3 linked regions of the Danio rerio genome follow. Each later gene encodes a partner of the first gene's protein in a complex. Links are inferred from orthologs where the notes say so. Each region holds a gene or a part of one and is shown in the gene's direction. Other genes may lie near its edges.

What was found.
Region 2: taf4a (region 1) and taf8 share a complex: the UniProt entries of both Homo sapiens proteins name them as parts of the TFIID basal transcription factor complex. The link is inferred for Danio rerio from reciprocal best matches to the Homo sapiens genes TAF4 and TAF8.
Region 3: taf4a (region 1) and taf7 share a complex: the UniProt entries of both Homo sapiens proteins name them as parts of the TFIID basal transcription factor complex. The link is inferred for Danio rerio from reciprocal best matches to the Homo sapiens genes TAF4 and TAF7.

Annotation. Positions count from the first base shown.
Region 1 is NC_133186.1:23,050,675-23,054,744, reverse strand, and holds part of taf4a (transcription initiation factor TFIID subunit 4), read left to right. Parts: intron 1-2,589; coding exon 2,590-2,646; intron 2,647-2,744; coding exon 2,745-2,864; intron 2,865-4,070. UniProt on the Homo sapiens protein: The TFIID basal transcription factor complex plays a major role in the initiation of RNA polymerase II (Pol II)-dependent transcription.
Region 2 is NC_133198.1:35,334,305-35,339,679, forward strand, and holds the start of taf8 (transcription initiation factor TFIID subunit 8), read left to right. Parts: upstream 1-1,914; 5' UTR 1,915-1,984; coding exon 1,985-2,032; intron 2,033-3,875; coding exon 3,876-4,035; intron 4,036-4,669; coding exon 4,670-4,768; intron 4,769-4,900; coding exon 4,901-4,963; intron 4,964-5,047; coding exon 5,048-5,172; exon of another isoform or gene 5,173-5,375. UniProt on the Homo sapiens protein: The TFIID basal transcription factor complex plays a major role in the initiation of RNA polymerase II (Pol II)-dependent transcription.
Region 3 is NC_133189.1:45,448,874-45,454,525, forward strand, and holds the start of taf7 (transcription initiation factor TFIID subunit 7), read left to right. Parts: upstream 1-2,191; 5' UTR 2,192-2,297; exon of another isoform or gene 2,298-2,470; intron 2,471-2,637; 5' UTR 2,638-2,652; coding exon 2,653-2,671; intron 2,672-2,945; coding exon 2,946-3,022; intron 3,023-5,652. UniProt on the Homo sapiens protein: The TFIID basal transcription factor complex plays a major role in the initiation of RNA polymerase II (Pol II)-dependent transcription.

The DNA of each region.
Region 1 (4,070 bases):
AGGAAAGTTCATACCAGTCTGGTTGAAAGTTTTATCTCCTATAATATTTCTTGCTGGTACGGAAATCTTAGAAGCAAGTATAAACTTGCAAAGATTGTTAATATGGCTAGTAAGATCATAATTGACCCCGAGAAGTAGCTTGTGGAACTGTATACAAACCAGACCAGACAGAAAGCCTCACGTCCTCTTTATTATGAATTTGAAAAGCTTCCTTCTGGTAGACGATACAGAGTACCGCAAAAACAAATAGTTTTTAGAAATCTTTTATACCGTCTGCTATTACCATACTGAATAAATGACCATGAAGTAGATTGTATGTCTAGGGTTGTGTGTTGGTAATCTGTGGTGTAGGAAGTTTTGTGTTTGTGATGTCTGGGAGGCCAAAAAATAAATTCCACAGGTGTGGGCAATAAAGTTTTCTAATTCTAATATAATCATATCAACAAGACAGGGCGTGCGCAAAGCAACTGCGATTAAAAGATCTGTTCAGCTAGCTGTGATCATCAGTCATCAAATGTGATCAAGAAAAGGTTTTACAAGTTTAAAATGTTTTTGAAACAGAGCATGTTTGTTATGATTTACAGTAATTTTACGGCCTCTCACCACAGCTGCATGTCAGTACAAATTTAAAAGACGACGCTTCAAGAGTGTACGTGGAGACACAAAAGAGGCATCTTAAATCTAGAAAATGGGGTAAAATAGGTGCCCTTAAGGTGTAAGGGATGGTCAATAATGTAAATAAAGATGTAGTTACATGCAAGTATTTAGTCAATCATAAATAAAACATGTGGAAATCTGCTAAATGACTTCAGTCAGACAAGGGTTAGAGATAAGCAAAAGAGTACTTTATTAAAAATAATCCTGGAGGATGACACCTGTTACGCACACGCACACACACAAAACACACACAGAGTAAGACCAGTTTTCTCAACAGACAGTTTTATACCTTTCAGTGCACGTACACTCAATTTGTGCCAAATTTCAAAAAAGATACATAACTAGTGGAACAGAAAAGATCTTGCTGTGGATTTCTAACTCCTGACTAAGAGTGCTACATTGTATCAGGCTATGGCCTTGGCCAGTACCAAACTGCTACTCTCCACAAAACATGTAGATTATCATGAGGTTCATTGAAAATGCAAATCATAAAACAAAAATTGTAACAAATGATTAATTTCTGTGTAAGTACATAATAAATTAAAGCCACTTAATATAAAGTGGGACCAACTGTAGCCATAAATGTTTTTAAGAATCAGCGTTTTACAGTTTATCTCAGTCACTGTGGTCCATTTCTCAGATCAGAATTGAAATTCTCTAAACTTCCTGTTCAATCTTCACATCATTGTGTCACTTTTGCACAATGCTTTTGTACATCCATGCAAATGATTATGTGCAGTTCTCTGCTCTTTCCTACATTATCAATTGCTAATATATTTTGGTCAGCATGACATTATTTTGGTCTCTGTTGAATAGTCTCACCCCCACAACATTTAATATCTTGTTCATGGCATAGGTCTTAGCATGCAGAATGGCTGAACAAGTTGTCATAATATTTTGCTGCATTTTCTGTACATTTACATTAGACTTTTTATTTTTCCTAAATCTGTCTACAATTGGTAAATTTCTCTCATGTGAGTCTTGTCTTCTGATGAAGGTGCATCTCAAAGGAGATTCCCATGTTCACATTTCTACTTTAGTTTAGTTTTTTCTTTGTGCTATGCAGTGCTGTCTTTTCCTTTCTGTATCACAGAGACATGATGTAAACAAATCACAGTACAAACAGCAAAATAAATAACAAATCACTAATAAAATATAATTATGGATATATCAGTAATATTGAAAACATGACTTATAAGTAATGTGACTGTCTTATCCGTACACATTTCCATTTGAAATTTTCTGAAATATTCTGGCACTGACACATTCATTGACCCAGAAATTTAGTTTGAGAGTGTTTTGCTATTTGTAAGCATTGTTTAGAGAAAGTAACTTACTCTTTTGAAAATTTCAATTCTGATCTGAAAAAAACTGTAAAAAGCCTTTTATGTGACTCTTAAGAAAGGAATAAATGACATATAATTGTAATTGAATAAATTATTTAATATATTAATAATTATACTTAAATTATTAATTTATCACAGTTACAAATATAAAAAAGTGAAAGATGATTCTAATTTTACATATTTTTGGTCAAATAAATGCAGCCTGGTGAGCAAAGGAGACTTTGTTATAAAATCCATTTGCAAGTGTGAAAAGAGCATTATTCAGGTGACGCTTGTTTGTTTGTGTGTGTGCGTTTTTGGTTAAGCGCGTAAAGAGCACTTGCATAAATTGTCCGATGTCTAAATATGCACTTATCTTTCATTTCCGAAATTGCAGTACAGCATAATTACTCATTCTTTTGTCTCTCTCCTTAAGCAGGAACTGCACGCATTACAGCATTACCCACGGCAAAAAGGCTGAGATTAATCATGATTAAATATTTAAATCAATTGACAGCCTCAATTTTTACATTTTCATCTGATCCCAGCAGATGTCTGAGTGTGTTTGGACTGTTGATCGTCTCTAATTGCTATTTATATTTCGCAGTCACGCTCGCGACAAGAGGACCCCGAGCAGCTGCGGCTCAAACAGAAGGCCAAAGAGGTGAAATGACACACTTCACAAGTTTATCTAGTCAGAGGACCATTGTGTTTGATTATGGGTCAGAGCTGATGCGAGTGTTTTTGTGTGTGTGGCTACAGATGCAGCAACAAGAACTGGCTCAGATTCGACAGAGAGACGCCAACTTGACGGCGTTGGCGGCCATCGGACCCAGAAAGAAAAGAAAACCAGATTCTCCTTCGCTCGGGATCGACACAGAGGTACTGAATGGCGGTCTGCTGCCCTTCTGTGGCCCCTTTAAATCATTTAGCACCTGTTGGGCAGGTATGAGATGTCAGGTTGAGCTTCAGGGGTCTCAGATTTTCACAAACAGGCAGATAGGATGGAGTAAAAGCATGGTAATGCATAGACATTTTCAGATGATTTATTTTTGACATAGTTGTACATATACACTCATCGGCCACTTTATTAGGTACACCTGTCCAGCTGCTCATTAACGCTAATTTCTAATCTGCCAATTACATGGCAGCAACTCAATGCATTCAGGCATGTCAACATGGTCAAGACGATGTGCTGCAGTTGCTGAAAGGTGATTTAATGACTTTGAACATGGCATGGTTGTTGGTGCCAGACAGGCTGGTCTGAGTATTTCAGAAACTGCTGATCTACTGGGATTTTGATGGACAACCATCTCTAGGGATTACAGAGAATAGTCAGAAAAAGACAAATATATCCAGAAAGCAGCAGTTCTGTGGGCACATATGCCTCGTTGAGTTCAGAAGAGAATGACCAGACTTGTTGGAGCAGATAGAAAGGCAACAGTAACTCAAATAACCACTTGTTACAACCGAGGTATGTAGAGGAGCATCTCTGAATGCACAACACGTCAAACTTTGAGGCAGATGGGCTACAGCACCAGAAGACCACACCGGGTGCCACTCCTGTCAGCCAAGAACAGGAAACTGAGGCTACATTTTGCACAAGCTCACTAAAATTGGACAATAGAAGATTGGAAAAACGTTGCCTGGTTTGATGAGTCTTGATTTCTGCTGTCACATTTGGATGGTAGAGCAGAATATGGCATCAACAGCATGAAAGCATGGATCCATCCTGCCTTAAATCAATGTTTCAGGCTGCTGGTGGTGGTGTGGGAGATATTTTCTTGGCCCATTAGCACCAATTGAGCATTTTGTCAAAGTCTACCTGAGAGTATTGTAGCTGACCATGTTCATCCCTTTATGATCACAGTGTACCCATCTTCTGATGGCTACTTCCAACAGGATAACGCATCATTATGTCAAATCGCAAATCATCTCAGACTGGTTCCTTGAACATGAGCATGAGTTCACTGTACTTAAATGGCCTTCACAGTCACCAGCACTCAATCCAATAAAGCACCATAAAGATGTGGTGGAATGGGAAATTTGCATCATGGATGTGCAGCCGACAAATCTGCTGTAACTGTG
Region 2 (5,375 bases), on another chromosome or scaffold:
CTGCGTCAGTCGGGCCGAAAGTCCCTCATCAGTAAGGAATCGAGGCTGGGAAACCAAGACGACAATCTTGTGTTGCGATTATGGACGTGATGAGTGAATCTTTAGCTGGTGAGGCAGTTGAAAATAGCGACACCAGCGTGATGGCCGCCCGCTGAAACGACTTTCAAAATAAATGCCCGACAACTAAACCTTGCTGTGGAAAATATACTTTGCAAATGTCAATGTGCACCAAATACACCCCCTCCCTCACACACACAAATAAAAAATAACTTTTTTTTCTGTTTAAATAAACTTTAAATGTAATATGTTAAGTCATATTATCATAGAGAAGTACAGATAAAGCTGTTTTTACAGACAACAACATAAAATCAGCTGCTGTTAACACCGCAGAATTAGTTATTATTGTTATATATTTATTTTTCAAAATCTAGATTATAGAATATTAATATACCCCTAGATAAATAGTTGCAAAGCATTTTTCACAATACACACACAACTATATTTACACTTCTTTTTATTTCCTACATCTAAAGCAATCGCTGCAATAAAATGAATTATTTGAATTACTGTTATGATTTCCAATCTTTAGAAAATAGAATGACACAATATTTATTTATTTAAATCAATAAATATAAATTTACTACAGAAATATTGTCATTTGAGATTGCTTCACAATGATACATTTTGATTGGCAAATCTGACCTTTAACACATTAAGCTAAACCTTCTGCCCCATATGCAGAATGCAGATCTACCGGATATACTAAGACACAATAAAGGAGACCAATTTTGCTTCATAATAAATAGGCGTAATGCATTTCTGTGTCCACAGAATGTGCAGCTACAGCTCAAATTAAGCTACAGATCATTTATTTTTTTATGTCATGCTGCAAAAAAAAAAATGACCCAAAAAATGTGCATCTCTTTAAATGCAAATGAGCTATTTCCAGAAGAAAGTGGGTCCTTTACAGTCTTTCTCAGATATTCTCAAGACAAGACATTGTTTTGGTTTTATCATGTCTACTGCACTTATGTGACATTTTAGTTCATCATCATGATGAAAGTTTATTATCCTCATCCGTTTTAAAGCCTTGTTGGTCTGTCTCGCTTTGTCCACTCATTTCAAAGCATTTGTGGTATCAGCCTTTGCTAAGCAACCATCATCTGTGCTCTCCATGGAAAATTTTTATTTATTTATAATTTTTTAACATGAAAAGATTAAAAGATAATTGGGCCTGACTCAGCATGAATGCTGTTTTTCAGCAGATTCCTGCTCCGCAGAACATAAAAACACACAGACACCCATTAACATGTCAAATTATATGAAAAATACATAAAATAATATAATAATTTGGTAGCATTAAGGTCTGAGGTGTTTGTGTCTACTCCCACGATTCAAATATTATAATAAAACTAGGATTAAAACTGATTTACCTAGCTTTTGTACCTCGTTTTCAGGTCAGAACTTAAAAATTAAATCTTCTGTGTCAGTTTACCGTTTTACTAAAGAATCATGTAGAAAGCAAGGATGTGAACATTTTGTTATCTAAAAGACTTGACATTTCTGTAAGATGTTCGACATTTAACTATTAACATTAACAGCTAGTTCGTGTGTGATGGTTCTTTTATTCAAATCATTAAAATAAAAATAAAGATAACATATTTAGAAGTCTTTAGAATAACTTAATAAAAGTTTTATGAGCATGCTACAATACCGTATTGACGATGACTTCAAAAAATGCAAATTTCTACTTTTGCTTTCATTTTTAGGAAATGGCTATGCAACAGTTATTTCTTTGTTTGACTTTTATTTTGGAATTGCACAGAAAACAACAACCTTCCGGTCGCCCTGTTGGAAATGTTGATAGGGTTGCCATTTTCGCCCAATATAAAAACACCAAATACAGTTTTTAGCAAACGCAGAACGCACAATGAGTTTATTTGCGAATGCTAAACATCAGAGGAAAAACCACTAGAGTTCTAAAATGGCAGACTCGGTAATGATGGGGAGCGGATCTTTAAACTCCGGAAGCGTACGTTAAATATCTCCTTTCATTAACGCTAACGTTACTCTTTCCTTCACCCTGCTGGCTCAGCCAAACAATACTAACTTTAGTTTTTTGATCAAAATTAGACTTAAAGGCACTTGTGTAATATATTTTAAAGCAGACACCGTATCGTATGTAAACACGTCTGTATATATATATATATATATATATATATATATATATATATATATATATATATATATATATATATATATATATATATCAATTATATAGTGAGCTGTTGCAGATCAGTGTCGTCAAACAGTGTTTTATATAACTGGTAAACGTCTTGTTAAAGCCGAAAATCACAAACTTTACTGTACTGCAACTGTACAAACTCAATTTTCTCCCAGCAGGAGTTTTCTATGAAACAATGCTAATGTCACTCATAATGACAAGTTATTGTGCATGGAGAATTGGGTTAGCATAATATATTAACAGTAAACTAGATTATTGACAGGAATGGGCAGTTTTACATACCATAATTTAATACCACACTCTTAATGCAATCCACAGTGGAATAGTAATCTTAACCAGATTCTCAGATGCAAAAATGAATGCAATAGATGCATTTTTGCCTCAGTAATTATAAGCACAGCCTTACAAAATCCCTAACTTTTTGTTAAGGATCCATCCATAAAAAATAAAAAAACATTAACAAAGATTGAGGTAAAGGTGGCTTTATATTCACACATTCAGACTTTGTCCTTAATAATATAAGTTCAGAAACATGTTGTTTGCAAATTCTAAATAGGGAAATCCTATTAGCAGCAGTGATAATGTTGTTTTGAAGTCATTACCTAGCTAAAATTTTACCCAATACTGTTATGTTATCGTTGGCCATGGAATTAATTTAAACAGGATTGGTAAAATACGATGTCTTCTATTTGCTGGACAAATGGTAGATTTAGTAGGTAAAGCTTTTAATCTGATTCAGTTTGACTCAATTGAGTTGAATCAAGTAATTCAGATCTTCAAGATTTGGTTCCTTTAAATGACCTAATAAATCCCTGACCAATGTTTTAATATAGGTTGATCCCTTACACTTAATAATCAAAGTAGCATGGAAAACAATATAGCGACTCACAAGTTGTCACTTTATGAATGTGCCATATAAAACCAACTTAACTAAGCAGAAATTAACTTAAAATCACATACGATTCCACAATGTGAGTTATAGTAATTTCCAGTAAAGTAAATCTACCTCAAAACGTTTTGATTTTCATAAAAACTTAATTACATGACTAACTTTTCCATTATTTTTTCAAAGTTTTATATTCATGAGTCATAACTAGGGCCAGACGGAATCTGCAGATGTTTTTTGCTATTTCTGCTGAGATTTTTGGTAAAAATCTGCGGATTTCTGCAGAATTATTTTGGGAGTATCCAGCGGAGTATCAAAACTAAAACCTTAATATATGAAACAAAAAGTAATAAATTACTGAATAAAAACTGAATAAATTTAGATTTACACATTTACTCAAGTAAATAAACAGAATTAATGATGGGCTAAAAATCTGCAGAAATTCTGCGGAAAATCTGCGCGCGCAGATTTCGTGTGGGCCTAGTCATTACCACTAAATACAATTCCTCTTTCTTCAACACTAATCTTAGAATAAACTTTGAAACCTTTTAAAAACTCAGAAGCTTACAGTATAGGAACCATACTAATTGTAAAACATTTCAAATAAATGCAGTTCATTTAGCCCTAACTTAATCTCTTTTATTGCATTTTCAAAGAAATGCCTTGCTGTATTAAATGCAGATATGTTTTAAAACTTCCTGATCTGTAAAACCTTCTTATCATCTTTTATTTTATTATTTCCAGCGCTCGGGGAGCAGTAAGACCTGCACCAGTCCCACAGAGAACTATCAGCTGGCTCGGAGACGCACGCTGCAAGTGGTGGTCAGTGCTCTGCTGACCGAGTGTGGCTTTGATAGCGCTGAGAAAGCTGTTGTGGAGACACTCACTGAGATGATGCAGAGCTGTGAGTCCTTCATTTACTTTAAGCAGCTCATCTTGACAAAATTTAAAAGCTTATGCATACCAATATCACAAATCATCGCGTTTTACTTTTTACGTTTGTGTGTATTTGTATGTAATTTATGGTTCTATGTTCTAATTTAACCACAGTTTGGGAACCAAAATTGAGCTATAGTTGAATAAAAGCTCACAAAACAATACAATTACTTTACACTTTTCTGTACATTAGAATGTGTCTATTTAAAAATATATTAATCTGAGCAAATAAATTATCACTGAAATGTCAATAAGACTAATATTGTATACACTAAAAAAGTTTTTTTTTTTTGTCAGGCATACAGTATTTAGAAAAGTGTAGCTCCCAAAAATTTTAATTATTGTCATTTTAAATCTTTTTACTTGTTCACTATTTATTTAGATTACTAGTTTACTTATTTGTCTGCTAAGTTATAGTTTATTAATAGGTCATAAATGGATAAATACATGTTTTTGTGTGTCTAGTATGACCATTTATTCTTAAATATATTTTAATAAGTAGAGCTCATGTTTGCTCCGGTTTCCCCCCACAGTCCAACGACATGTGCTGTAGGTGAATTGGGTACTTTTTGATTTTTAAGAGTCTTGTTGTCTTTTGATAGATATAACAGAAGTTGGACGTTGCGCAAAGGCAAACTGTGAGCACACAGCCAGAAGCACCCCTACTCTGTCTGATGTGGTCATTACTCTCGTCGAAATGGGTTGGTTTACTTTCAATGTTAGGACAAATTAAAGATTCAACTTCTTTTTTAATATATATATATATATATACATGGTTTAGTCATGCTAATGAGATTTAGGCTAATCCTGGATTTACTTTTCCACAATCGCAGGTTTTAATGTGGATACTCTTCCAGTGTACGCCAAAAGATCTCAAAGAATGGTTATAACAGCACGTAGGTCTCTATTATATCTAAATATTTATATTTTTCTGCTGTAACTGTTCCTGTTTTAATTGGTAACACTTATGCATTTCACAGCTCCGATAACAAACGCTCCGGTGGTACCAAAATCTCTGACGGCTGGACAGAAACGCACTCACCCGGCACACATCCCCAGCCACTTCCCTGATTTCCCAGATCCTCATACATACATCAGAACACCAGTGAGTCTTGCTTGTGTCACTCACCTGATTCGGTTGTTGTGTATTGTTTAGCTCAACAATTGATAACATTATAGTTATAGCTCTACAGAATATATGAAGAGTTCAAATGAAAAACCCCTTAAGTGCCATCTGAACTTTTTTCGAAGCCTCCTTTGTTTATGTTGCGTTATTTCACTTTAAAGACCATGAAAATGACTTATTCT
Region 3 (5,652 bases), on another chromosome or scaffold:
GCGCTCGGCATCTGCACCGCAAGCGACAACGCGTCAAACTTGCAAACGCTCCCATGCATGCAATCAGTGGAGCGACGCGTCTTTCAGGCTTGTAGATGGGAAGAGTGACGTTGGCGTCCAGTAGACCAATCAAAAGACTTTATTTATGTGAGCAGTGTTTACAATGTTATTTTATTTCAGTAAGGCTTTTGGGTGGCATAGTGAGAGACATCTCTAGTTGTTCCATTCATTAACACTTTAATAGCACCTTACTTTTAGTTTTCAAGAGTTTCATTCCACATATATCAGTGGTGATATTAAGAAAACTGGGTTACAATGACTGTAACATCAACCCGTTTGTTATGAGACGAGCTTATGGTTTTGGTTAACGATGGTGTCCTTGCAGGTGAGTGAGCGTTGTCATAACATCAAATAAATGTAGACAGTCCCTTTATAGTTTTGCGTGTACAGTTTGTGGTGTCATAAAATTCAGATGAGCCCTTAATGCCTCTGTCTGCCCCTCCCATTATCGGAAAGCCTGTTTGGGGAATTCATTGGTAATACTGTTGTTTGTGGTCTGGGGAATTATTTATACATTCTTTGATATATTGTCCTCAGACTTTGAAAAGGTTTGGTTACACCTCTCTGGAAATGCTAGCTAGTGTTCCCCCATTTTATTTTCTAAATTTCCAAAAGAAACACTTTTCATACCCTACTGTTTCTTACAAAAAATATTTACTAACTATAATAGTAATTTACTGTTAAACTTACTTTGTTTAGCTATAACTATAAACCATATCTTCTCAGAATTAAAGAAAAATATTGTTAATAATAAAACTCTTTAAAGCACTTTTCAAGCACTTTCCAGATGCATTTACAAACTTTTCAAGAACTTAACAAGTGTGGCAAATGACATATTTACATACATATACCGTATACTTCATAACATTATATTAGATGATAACCTATTTGTTGATGGCATGTGTGTTTGACCCAAGCCCAGCACTGAACTGCTGTCATTTACTCTCTTAAATATCATGTGCTTACATCGAATGTGTCATCTTTCAAAAATAAATATTTATTTATTTTATTTCAAGTATTGTTCACACATGAATCATTAATCCCCATGCACATTTCTTCTTCCACTGTTTTAGCAAAGGGCACAGATCAAAAAGTTAGGCTACCTAGTTGCAACATTTATTCATTCATTTTATTTTCGGCTTAGTCCCTTTATTAATCAGTGGACACCACAGAGGAATGAACCACAAACTTATCCAGCATATGATTTATGCAGCGCATCTATTTATCTATATTATGCATATCTTTAATAGGTTAAATAGGTTATCTTTAGCATGCTAATCATGTCAGCAACATGCTACAAAGCATGCAATCTTCATTCTTCCATCCACAGTATTAACAATCTAATATCTGTACCTAAACTAAAAAATTATTGCAAACATTTTTTTCTTTTGTTATTGTTAAGAGTACAGATACAGAAAATGTATAAACCCTATAACAAGTTACAACACAAAATAAACAACAGAACAAAGCAAATCAAAAAGAGAAACAAAAAGAATGACAGGGTTAATATAAATTACAAATAGACCATTTTAAAGTTCTCTCAAAGCATGGTCAGAGTGATGAATAAAAGGTCATATAGAACACAGCTGGATATTATAGAAGAGACAAAACTGTTGTAATCATAAAAGCTTTACCTCTACAGTACATTACGTTGGATATTCTCAACCCAATGTCTTTGTAAACATTTTCATGTAATCATATAACTGTGTGTGTGTGTGTGTGTGTGTGTGTGTGTGTGTATATATATATATATATGTATATATATATATATATAAAATCTTTTCTGAGAAGGTTGTCTCGGTTAAAACGTTTTAATCTAAAAACCTTACTTCCCATACCGGGAGTCGAACCCGGGCCGCCTGGGTGAAAACCAGGAATCCTAACCGCTAGACCATATGGGACGATACTTTACTACATGTTTTTTTGACTATTGATACATCAGCAGAAATCCTGGTCCCTTGTGTTGATTTCATATTTATCAAGCGTTTAGTAAAGCAATTACATAAGCGTCATATTTTCTGGGGGTTGTGTAAGCAGACTTTAGCATTTGTTAGAGTATTGGCGTGGTTTTATAAAAGTTAGCTGCTTCTACAAAACGGACATATCTATGCAAAACGGACAGCAGGTGGCAGTGCAGCGCTAAAATACGCCGAGCTTCCGCGAGACACTTCATAGAGGCACAGCTATGTTTATGTGCTCAATTTAGCTGTTCTCTGATAACAATCATATTATTTACTGTAAGTACTGGAATTAATGTTAGCATTACTATTATTACTACTGCGCTCTATATTGTTTCAAGAAGCGAATATTTATTAAACAATTACGTCAACGATATTCGTGTTATATATAATAAGGCTAATGTTAGCTTCGCATATGTAGCATTAGCCTGTAAGATTCTCACAGGATTTTGGTGAGTATGTTTATTAACAGCTTTGAATTGTGCTACATTATTAGTATTTTATCACTCGTAGATAAACACGTTTTTCTTAAATAATACTTTTATAATGTATTTAAACGCCTGTAGCCATTTATATGCGGCTGTATACATGTATTGTATTATATTCTATTTCTTTGCAGAACTAAGAGCCAAAGATGACCTCAAAAACAAAAGGTACAAATATGCACGCACTCCCTTTTCTATTGACATTGGGGTATTACTGTGGTATTACCATCGTTTGAACTCGTAAAACGGTAATAAGTACCATGTAATTACAACTACATGCAAGTACCGTGGTACATGGTCATGCTAATCATTTAGTACGTATGCTAACGTTATATTCCTAAGTGTATTTATTAACATTTAATACAAATTATTGGACTTTATCAGTTTATTTTATGAATAAATATCAACCAGTATGTAACATTTTAAGTTGTCTCTCTTACAGTGGGAAAGGTCGGCACTAAAAGCAAAGAAGATGCTCCTCATGAACTGGAGAGTCAGTTTATTTTGCGGCTTCCTCAGGTCAGTTTGTGTCCTATATTAGGAAAAAAAGTCACTGGACAAATGTACATACTTTAATTAAAAGTGTTTGAATACTTGTGTTCTTTATAGTGTTGTTTGTAGGCATGAGCCAGTAATAGTTTCTGATGGTATAATCTTGGATAAAAATATCACGGTTTGACCGTATGGTGATTACTGCTTTAAAATATATATATATATATTTTTTAATGTCTGGTAATAAAAACATTTTTACCTTTGAACATGATCTATTTTAAGCATTTAAAATATTTTTGGAACAGTAAACATGTCAGGCTAAGTAATTAAATTCTGCTGTCTTAATTAGTTTTAAGAACATGAAGTAACACAGATCTCTTTACAATTTAAAACAGCATCTTTGGATATCTTTTCTGTTGGAGATACTGTTGTCCTAAAAAACGAACAAAAAAAATCTTACATATACCATAGGAATGGAATAGGTTGTTTTCACATGACGTCATTGATCACGCGCAAGACTCAGATGGAGGGCAGAAAGTGATTCTTCTACACAAGAATCGGTATCAGAACATCAAATGTTTCTGTTTTATGTTGTTTATGATTCTTAAAATCAGCCAAAATAAGAAATGCAGAACCGCTTTTATAGAACTCCAAACTGGCTGAAAAACAGAAGAAAAGGTAACATAAACATTTGTTCAAGACATCTATGTGTACAAACTAATTGAACGCGATAATTTGCTTGACAGCACTAATAAAGATGCTATACAGGCCTAGCTATGTGTATAAATATGTTAGTGTTTTATATAAAAATCATGTACAAACAACACCAAAATTATACAAAGTCCAGGAGATTATAAATAACATTCCCTGCCATGTAATCACTGCAATAAAATCTCCGTCTTTACTGGTGTTTAGGTGGAATAAACAGCTGTAATGTTAACATAGAGATGTGCAGCAGCGGTGAAAGTTTGTTGATGGCAAGTTCATCGACCGAACAAAAAAATAAAATAAATGCAACCCTTGCTACAAATCTGGACTGTTATTATTGTAGAGCACTTTTCCCCCTTACAAAGATAATAATAATAATATAATAATAATGTAGACTGTGCATCCATGCTTTTGTATGCTTTCATGTTATTTCGTGTTGTCTGGAAGATATCACAGGGGGGAACTATAGTAATTTATAATAAACATGTTTTTAAACACATAGTAAAAAATATAATGTGTACAACTCTTTGTTAATGAATGCTACAGAATACTGTAGTGAAGTAAACTGATAAACTGCAATAAATAGTGTAACGTTAGTGTAAACTGGTGCATCGTGATGGTGTATAATTAAAGTGAAGAAAACTGAAGCCTGTTGAATAATTTGCTTATTACTACAGTTGCGCTGTACCATAGCAACAATATAATTACTATTTAATTCAAGTAATTATCTATAGTATGCTTCCAAACATTATAGAATTTACTATAGTATTTTTCATGTAACATAACAGCTTATACAGTATCTACCGCCTCGATGACAGGCAAATATATTTGAGTTCAGTAGAAAACTCTTCATCATAAGGATCATGCCCAACATGTGCTTATTTTCTATTTATATCTGCTACGATAAAAAAAAAAACAAAAAAAAACAGATTTTCCTCTCTCCCGTTCAGTTTTTTTTTCTTGCCCTTTATCTCAATTTCGCGCATCACCAGAGCCACGTGATTTTAAACAACTTATGGCAGAAAATGTTTTCTGTTTTAAAACCTTGACTTTTGCAAAGCGTGGTATACCCTAAAAACGGTTATCATCCCATGCCTAGTTGTTTGCTATGAGATTCATAACAACAGTATGCGTTTATGAGCCACTTACATAGCTGTAAGGACAGCATATTATTACAACTAATATATTATTACATATTATTACAGACTTATAGTGACAGTTTGTTGGTTACTCAAGGCTAAACCATGTGCTTGCATGGAGAAACCAAATTCTGCTGGTGCCCGTTGCTTTAATTAGTTGACATAAGTAAATTGTGTAGACCGATAGCATGACATGATCATAATGTTCAAATATTATTATGTGACACCACAGTGTAACAGACATCAGTATAATAAGGATAGTTAAATAGTGAATGTATATCATATTGTGTACATTGGCTGCCAACAAACCCAGATAAATGTTTTTTTTAAACGTGTAGGATGTTAAGAGTAGGGCTGTGCGTTCTTGGCAAAATAAACCTATCATAATTTTTTTGAACAATATTGCGATTTCTATTTTAATCACGATTTTGACACACATAGACGTTTTATAGTGTGAATCTGAAATATATTTCCAAAGGAAAATTATTCCATCGTTATCATAGACCTGTAACAAATCTCTAAAACAGACATAAGGCAAAAAAATCACATAGTAAAGGTGTAGAAAGGTGTCTCTTGAACAGACTAATGCAAATCAAACAAATAAATAATGTGTGTGTGTTTGTTTATGTGTATGTGTATGTGTGTGTGTGTGTGTGTGTGCGTACCGTCAAACTCGAGAAAGACTCTGATGTTCTGCTTAAACACATGTAAGAAGTAGTTGCATGTACTATTCTACATGTCCAAGGATTTTTTATTAGCCATGTAAAGACTATTGACCTCTTTGTGAGGCTGCCGTGAAATGGGCTGTTC